Linked DNA regions of Schizosaccharomyces pombe. The protein of the gene in region 1 purifies or fractionates together with the protein of each later gene. This does not show direct contact. Each region holds a gene or a part of one and is shown on either strand. Other genes may lie near its edges.

Region 1 (3,921 bases):
TGCCAGGCGAATTTCGGTATGGTTGCGGCGTCGATTACGTTCATTCACTTTGGCAAGTTGATCCATGGCAGAATTACTATTTTGGTTAGATCCCATGGAAAGTTCTTCCAAAGTGTTTAATTGATCGTCAATCTCCTTGACCAATTCTGCATTACCAGCAACATAAGCAGCTTGTCTCCTTTGACGAAGACGGGTCTTTTCAGCAGCGATGTTCGAAGGAACACGCGATAACTCTTTCTTCCTGTTAATAATATCAGAAACCTCCTTTTCGCTTAAAACGTATTTACTCATATCCCTGAGGTCATTCAGCTTTCGTTGTACAAAATTTTTAGAGGGCATGGAAAGCTTATCTTCCATCATTTGGTGATGCCATCGTTGGAAATCATGGTCGGAAAAAGGCTCATTTGATAAGACGTTGACATCGAACACTCTTTTCGAGCGACCATGAAAACATTCCAGTGAAACTTTAGTTAAAACACCATCAACACGATACGGCTTTCTGCTTTCTAAAATACCCTTGACTTGACATAAGCGATATACACCTTGTCCATCACGCTCACCAATTTTAACCCGAACAAAGCATCCAGTGACGGTGGACTCAAAGATAGGATGATACATGTACTCCGCGACATGTTTACGCCCAAGACGAATTGCATTTAAATCGTACAAATTGGCGGATGCATTATCTTTTGAAACTTGTTCAACTTTTTCCTCAGCATAGCTGGGAGAGTAACCTTCCTCTTCTTCGCTCTTCTCCGACTCATTCTGTTCTTCATAATCGGAAACAGGGCTCCTTTTTCTAGTTCTTTCAGAGACGCTTCTAGCTGAACGTTCCTGGCGGCGCTTTTTCAGCTCAGTAAGCTTATCACGTTTGCCAGCGGCTGCTGAAGTTAAAGGCTTGTCACGAGTAGACCTTCTAGTAGATTGCGCCATATACTGAGCATTTTGCTGATGGAGGCGAATTGCCAATTCACGCCTTTCCATCAACTTTGAAATTTCTTCTTCACGTTCGAAGAGAATACTCTCTCTCTCAATTTCCGTCATTGCCATTATCCTTTATTTGGTTAGACAACTTTATGAAAAATGTAAAAATCAACGTACTTTGCTCTGTCTGCTTCATCTTTAAACTTGCCCTCTAGACGATACGGGTTTTTGAATTTTTCTTCAAATTCGTCTTCCGACTTCTCATTTCCTTCTCCTCCAGACTCTTCCGCATAATCCTGTCCAACATTTTCATTATTGTCTTCGTCTGAACTGCTGCTCAACACATCATCTCTAAAATATGTTTTGTTAGCAAGGTCAATCCGATAAATTTGCTTTCTTACAAATCATCATGAGCCCTTTTACGGTTTGAAGCAACATCTGAGTCATCAATACCAGCTAATGCCAACAATTCATCCTGAAAGTCGGCCATCTTGGTGGAGGACAGGATCAGATTAGCTAGATACCTGACTAATAACGGTTCCAAGGACTCTCCACCAATTTCATAACAGCAGCGAAACTTTTATCTACTAGCTTTCAAAGGTACTATCTGCTAGTACATTAAAAGAATAATGTTTTTATAATTTGAAAAGTGATTTTTTTTTTAATTTTTTTTTTACGAAATAATTTTTGCAGATGTTGTCTTCCTTGGTTACAAACCTTATCGTTGAAAGCTTCCTTTTAAAATACTGCTCATTTGGGGTCCTCCTCTTTCCCTCTTTTTGAATATATTTCTTCTGTCGCGTAAAAACTTCAAACTGAGAATTCTGCATTTTGTTACAATATAAAATTCGTGAATCAAACCATTCAATAATAATCACAAGACTGTAAATAGGGCACATGTTAAATGCTCTTTTACAAAGAAAATCGTTTTAAGAAATAAGATATCTCTTCCATATCTGGCTTCTTTTACATATAAAGTAGCAAAGATTGCTTACGCCATTTCAAAATGAACTCGGCTCTAAAGGCAATAATAGAGCTTTGTATTGAAGAAGACTTGTTGCCAAAATCATTAGATGTTTTAGAATATCTTCTATCGACGACCTCTATACCAATTCCAGCTTGTTATATACGAATGTGCATAACTCTTCTAGTCCACCCAGAATATCCTACCTCTTCTAATATTCAAGAAAGCTGTAATTGGATATTACAGCAGGTGGTTGAGAACAGAAGCAAAATCAACTTTGACGCATGGTCATTTGAAAATGATCTATCGGACAACGATATGCCTAAAGAAAATTATCTGAAGATTTTCTCCAACCAATGCTTATTTACCCAAGATGTTGATTATTGGGATCTAATTGCATACATGTCTTCTCGTCCTCCTGACCTTGAACGTTGGATGTCCTTGATGGACATATGGTTAAGGATATTAGAGATCGATGCTGAGGAAAACGGATCTGCGTTGATGAAAAAATACATGGGAGAAGATTTGTGTGAACTTCAAGATGCCATCAGAATTTGCTTCTCCTGTTTCACTCTTCCCCAGCAAACAATGGAATCACCTTTTGCAACAAGTATGTCCAAAGCACCTGCTAAAACAGAAAGTCGAGGTTCAAATAGTTTTGAAGGAACATCAAGACTAGCAAACCTAGGTGCCAAACTCTTATGCCTTATATGGGCTATGCTTCCGAAGGGAAGATTTTTTGTTGTACATCTGACAGACGCTTTTCATTTTCTTAGCAAACTCGACGAACGTTTTTCAAAACTGAATGCGAAACAACAAGATCTTTTCTTTGGAAACTTAGGCGCCTCCAATCTCCGGTATTGCCTGAGCCAATATATACTTATGAAAGGAATAGGTATTGGAATTAACATACGCCATACACGTTGTGAGTTTACTAAACAGCTAACTCAACTTTTACCCACTTCCCTTCCGAAAAACAAAATCAGACAGAAGCTACATCTACGAGCATGGGTCTCATTTTTGGGTTCGGCCCTTCGTGAAAGTGATCGCAACTTTGATAAAGAGCTATTTTACACAACGTTGAAGCAGTTATACACAATGTATCAACAAACAGAATTAGTTGGTATTGATAGACCAATGGCAATACTCAAAGACATGCTTGTATTATTAGATATTTCAAAAAAATTGTCCTTGGATAAAATCGTTTAACTTAATAATTTAACTACAAATTAACAGAAGTCATTTGGCATTAATTGTGTATCCTAATATATATAGACTATATGTATCGTTTCAATGAATGAGGCTTTGTGTGGAAAATAATTATTATAATCATTAGTGATAACTAAGAAAATGAAATTTATATGAATAATATATAATAAACAAACGGGTAGATAGAAAGTAAATTAATTATTACCGAAAACGAAATGAAACATTTTGTGCAATAATTGTATGCTTGACCCCTTTATAAGATTTTTTATCTGGATGATTAAGCATCTTCAATGACTCTACTTTAAAATTATGAAGGGTTGATCCTTGAAGTTTATATTGTAAATCAAGGTGCTCAAGCTTAGAGTAGCTACTTGACTCTTCGGTTGAATTGGCATCTTTCTTTAAGGGGGCCAGGAATCCTGTCAACACTAAGGCCGGGGATGTCCAAGCTAATTTTTTTACCGACCACTCCAGAATACCTTCTTCCATATGAGTATACTTGGAAGCACGAAAAATATAATTTCCCTCGGTAACCGTAACGCTCTTTAGAGCTTGAGGAATAGTTATTAGGATTTTTAAATTTTCAACGGATTTTTTCCCGGTGTTTCGAATACGTACTTCGAACCTTCCATCCAACTTATTTTTTGCTTCAACAACAACAGGCAAAGATTTCTGGGTAGCAAAGTCTGTTTGAAAAGAAGCTAATGTAAATTTTCCGTCCGGTGGAATGAATTCAATCTGATCCGGATGTTGTTTCCATCTTTTTAAATTGACTGACTGGTGGAACCGAACATTCCCTAGTTTTGTGCCGGGTCTCAAACTCA
Region 2 (3,933 bases), on another chromosome or scaffold:
ATTGTGTTTTACCGGAACCTTGAGTATTAACGCAAAATAAACTTTTGGTAGAACTTTCCAGATGATCTGCAAAAGATTAATAAGGAGGATCACAGCTTCAACTGAAGCTACTGAGCACTTGCCCAAAACGAACAAGTTTTGACGGAAATATATTGGCATTAACCACAGTTTTTGTATTTGTTAGGCTTTTTTTTAAAATCATTTTGCATTCTTTCACATGGCTACCAAACTGAAATCCGCCAAGTCAATCGTGCCTCTTTTGGATCGTATTCTGGTTCAACGTATCAAGGCCGACACCAAAACCGCTTCTGGTATCTTTCTACCTGAGAAGAGCGTTGAAAAGTTATCCGAAGGTCGTGTTATTTCCGTCGGAAAGGGCGGTTATAACAAGGAAGGTAAACTGGCTCAACCCAGCGTAGCCGTTGGTGATCGTGTCTTGCTGCCTGCTTATGGTGGAAGCAACATCAAGGTGGGCGAAGAGGAGTATTCGTTGTACCGTGATCACGAGTTGTTGGCTATCATCAAGGAATAAATTAATTAATGGGTAATTTTTTCTTCGTCAGCCACTGCCTATTAAGCATACTAAAAAAAAAGCTGTTGGACGCAAAAACATCTTTTGTTATTGTTCTTGCAGCAAATTACGATAAACTGGTACAAGATGGCTTTTTTAACAGCTCTAATTTTAAGGACGATTGCACTCAGATTTAAATGTGATGTAAATGCGGACATTTTTAAAGAAAATGACAGTGATTATGCGTTTGATGATCGATGTCATTTCTCTTTTATTTTTTTGTAAAGAAGATTTTGAGTTCGTGTTTTATGAGTCTAACCCTTCACCTGAATTTTAACGATTTCAGTTTAAAATGCGAGTGTTCTCCACATAGTTTAATTACGAACCCTTTTTTCCAACATTAAAAACTGTTAATTTTATAAGTTTTCTATATCCTTTCCCAAGTAGCCCAAATGTATAAACAAGTAAAGCGAACACCAGTAGGTAGTGAAAAAATTACCAGCGTCCTATAACGGTCGCATTTGCCCATGGCGTGTTACAATTTATACAATTAACATGAGCTAAATGCTTGCAACAGTAAACATGCAAGCAGTAGCCACAATCACATACATATCCCTATAAGGTATTCAGTTAGTAAGTTTGCATTTGTGATATGTATCTTACAGCAATTACAATTTCGCGACAAGCGTTGCATTCGTATAAATTGCTCTCGTATTCGTTGTGTAAATAAGCATCCAATTCAGCTAACGCATGATTCGTAAATGTCCAAATACCCTCTCTCTGTCTTAGCCATCCATCACGTTCAAACGTATGTAAGTGAGACTCAATAACACTAGGTGCCAATCCCATTTCTTTTCTCGATAATTTTTGGATTTGCAGAGTCGTTAATGAATATTGGTAATCATCACACTTCATGATCCATTCGATTATCTTTCTCATAAGTTCTATCTGAACAGGAGGGTAAGGAGTAGCCATTTGGGATACTGGGTCTCCAGATAAATTCTGAAAGTGCAGCGTTAATCTTCCATCCAGTTGATCCTGTACTCGTTTTATCTTAAAATCGAAATTGTGCAAAGAATTGTTCAATTCATTTATTACATCTTCTACAGTTGCCGTTTCTCCATACTGCTCTTGAACAAGTTCACGAACTTGTTCATTATCAACACCAGCTGTGCGACACATTATATATTGAAGAATGAATTTATGCTTGTCAGATAATCCATCTTGTCTCTCTTTCTCCATACCGTTTATTCCTTTTTTTGTATTTCTACTATTTTGATTACTAATTGACGCGTTAATTGACCAATGCAAATTTAAACAAACACGCACAAAACGCCTAGCTTCCTTTCAATTTTTTATCAAATTTTTATGGTCGTTTCGATTTTTTGTCTTAAAATAGTCCGTTCATATATTGACAATCATGAAACATACAGTGTAATGGTATATGTTGGTAGTAGATGAAATCAGTATTCAGTGTGAAACAAAATTTGATTACCATTAAATACGCGCAGCTAGAACAATTTGTGAAAAGCAGCAGATATTCCTTTCTTTTTTTTAAAAAAAATTTATGCTATATATTTTTGTGAAATTTCTTTCTTTATCCTTTTCTTTCTATTGTTTACGCACATAAACATGGTTAGAAAACATACAGATGCAAGCAATGGAACAAGAACATTTATTATATTTATTTTAAAAAAAAAAAAACAGCATATTTTTCTACTGATCATCTTATTGTACCACGCACATTTAGCTTTCAAGTATTTTATAACACTACGAGTTAAACGTACATCAAGAATAGGAAACTAAGAGATAACCTTTTGCAGTTTTTGAATAAGGGAAAGTTAGAAAGAATACACATATTTTTCGTAAAATGTAAACCCTGTTCGTGAAAGTTTACTTTTCGTTGAATTTAGAATAATTGTTTATAATTAATGTTGACTTATTAGCTTACTAGAATGCTTGAATTCGGGTTTATAAGAGTTCAGTCGTAAATTTTATCACTTGAATTGTCAATTGATAGATTAAAGTCCAATTGCGAGTATGCGCGATTGCAGATTTCATGAACAACCCTATATTCAGAGTCATGCAGTTAAATCATTTTCTTGGGAATAAAAACTCTTAACGATGCTGAATGTACTTTTTAAAGTAGATATATATGAATTAAATTAGGAAAGTGTGGTTTATTTGTTTGCGGACCCAAACATACAGTACTAGTCAACTTATATTATAGTCAGTCGATGTTAACCAAATCCAACTACTCTAAGAACTGTTGAAAATACGGTATTGGAAGCAAATTCAGCTTAATTTGTATGAGAGTTTAGGACGAATGTAGTTATTTAGTTGATTTATAAATTACTTTAAAACTGAATGGATGAAGTATGTGCTGCTCCAGCGCCCAAAAAGATGGTCGCGAAATCACTCGTCTTGAACACGTTCAGGAAAGCCTCTGTAAAAGAAGTTGTTGAACTAAAGAAACCTTGGAAAAAGGTTTTATGGAGGAAACAAGATTACCCAGATAACTTCATTGATGAATCTTTTTTGAATGGCTTACAACGAAATGTTAACATTCAAGTCACTGACTTTTGGTCTTTAGTGGCCGATAGTTTACCTGTCTCCCAGCATCTATCAAGCGTAGTTATATTTGCCTCGGTTTTCGTTTCGATCTATAGGAACCAGTTATCTTGTGCGCTTGTTGGTTTCGTGTCAAATGTTTCTGCGGTCGCGGCATTCATTTTGTGGGATTTTGTGTTGAGAAAGCCTTGTAACAATAGAACTTTTCCTAATTACATGGGGATCGTTAAATCTTGTATATTAATTGTTCTTACGCTTGCTGGTCTATCGCCAATTCTAATGTCATTAACAAAATCTACCTCTCCTGACTCAGTTTGGGCTATTGCTGTTTGGCTTTTCCTTGCGAACGTATTTTTTCATGAATATACGACGGAAACTATCAGACCTCATGTCAGGTACGTCTTTGGAAACTTCATCGTAATTAATTCCATTTCTAATTATTTTTCTTTTTAGGCTACACAATTCTTTATCAACAAATGCGGCGCTGAGTGCATCTGTTGTTCTAGCTTCACGACTGGAAAAGTCAATTAATGTATTTTTTTTTATTCTTTTTGCCGTTCATTGGTTTGCACTATTCCCCATTTTTCGCAAATACATTCATGTAAGAAGCAATTTATTGGCCTTTTCTTTTATTTAACCAATTACAGGTTTTCTCTTTTTACGCTGACATGCTTATGACCCTCGTATTGATCATAAGTGCATATATTGCTTTGAATGCTGTTGCATCTGTTGTTATTGCGTTTGTCTTTCTTTCATTAATATTTTTCATTTCGTTTATATGTCCCATTTGGTTTATTAAGCTTCAAAGATTTAAAAAGTATGTAATTATTTTATTTTATTATTTCTTTCTA

What was found.
Region 2: the proteins of nse5 (region 1) and nse1 purify together in Schizosaccharomyces pombe (affinity purification with western blotting; one study listed by BioGRID). This does not show direct contact.

Annotation. Positions count from the first base shown.
Region 1 is NC_003423.3:1,255,973-1,259,893, forward strand, and holds nse5 (Smc5-6 complex non-SMC subunit Nse5), read left to right. Parts: upstream 1-1,930; coding exon 1,931-3,097; 3' UTR 3,098-3,220; downstream 3,221-3,921. Other genes in the region: prf1 (RNA polymerase II-associated Paf1 complex protein), read right to left, coding at 1-1,054, 1,102-1,275, 1,326-1,414; AP-3 adaptor complex subunit Apm3, read right to left, coding at 3,299-3,921. UniProt on the Schizosaccharomyces pombe protein: Acts in a DNA repair pathway for removal of UV-induced DNA damage that is distinct from classical nucleotide excision repair and in repair of ionizing radiation damage.
Region 2 is NC_003421.2:1,192,017-1,195,949, reverse strand, and holds the start of nse1 (Smc5-6 complex ubiquitin-protein ligase E3 subunit Nse1), read right to left. Parts: upstream 1,964-3,933; 5' UTR 1,754-1,963; coding exon 1,175-1,753; intron 1,127-1,174; coding exon 1,007-1,126; 3' UTR 533-1,006; coding exon of another isoform or gene 218-532; 3' UTR 1-217. Other genes in the region: protein Hsp10, read left to right, coding at 218-532; gpi2 (pig-C family GPI synthesis protein), read left to right, coding at 2,879-3,477, 3,536-3,683, 3,730-3,899.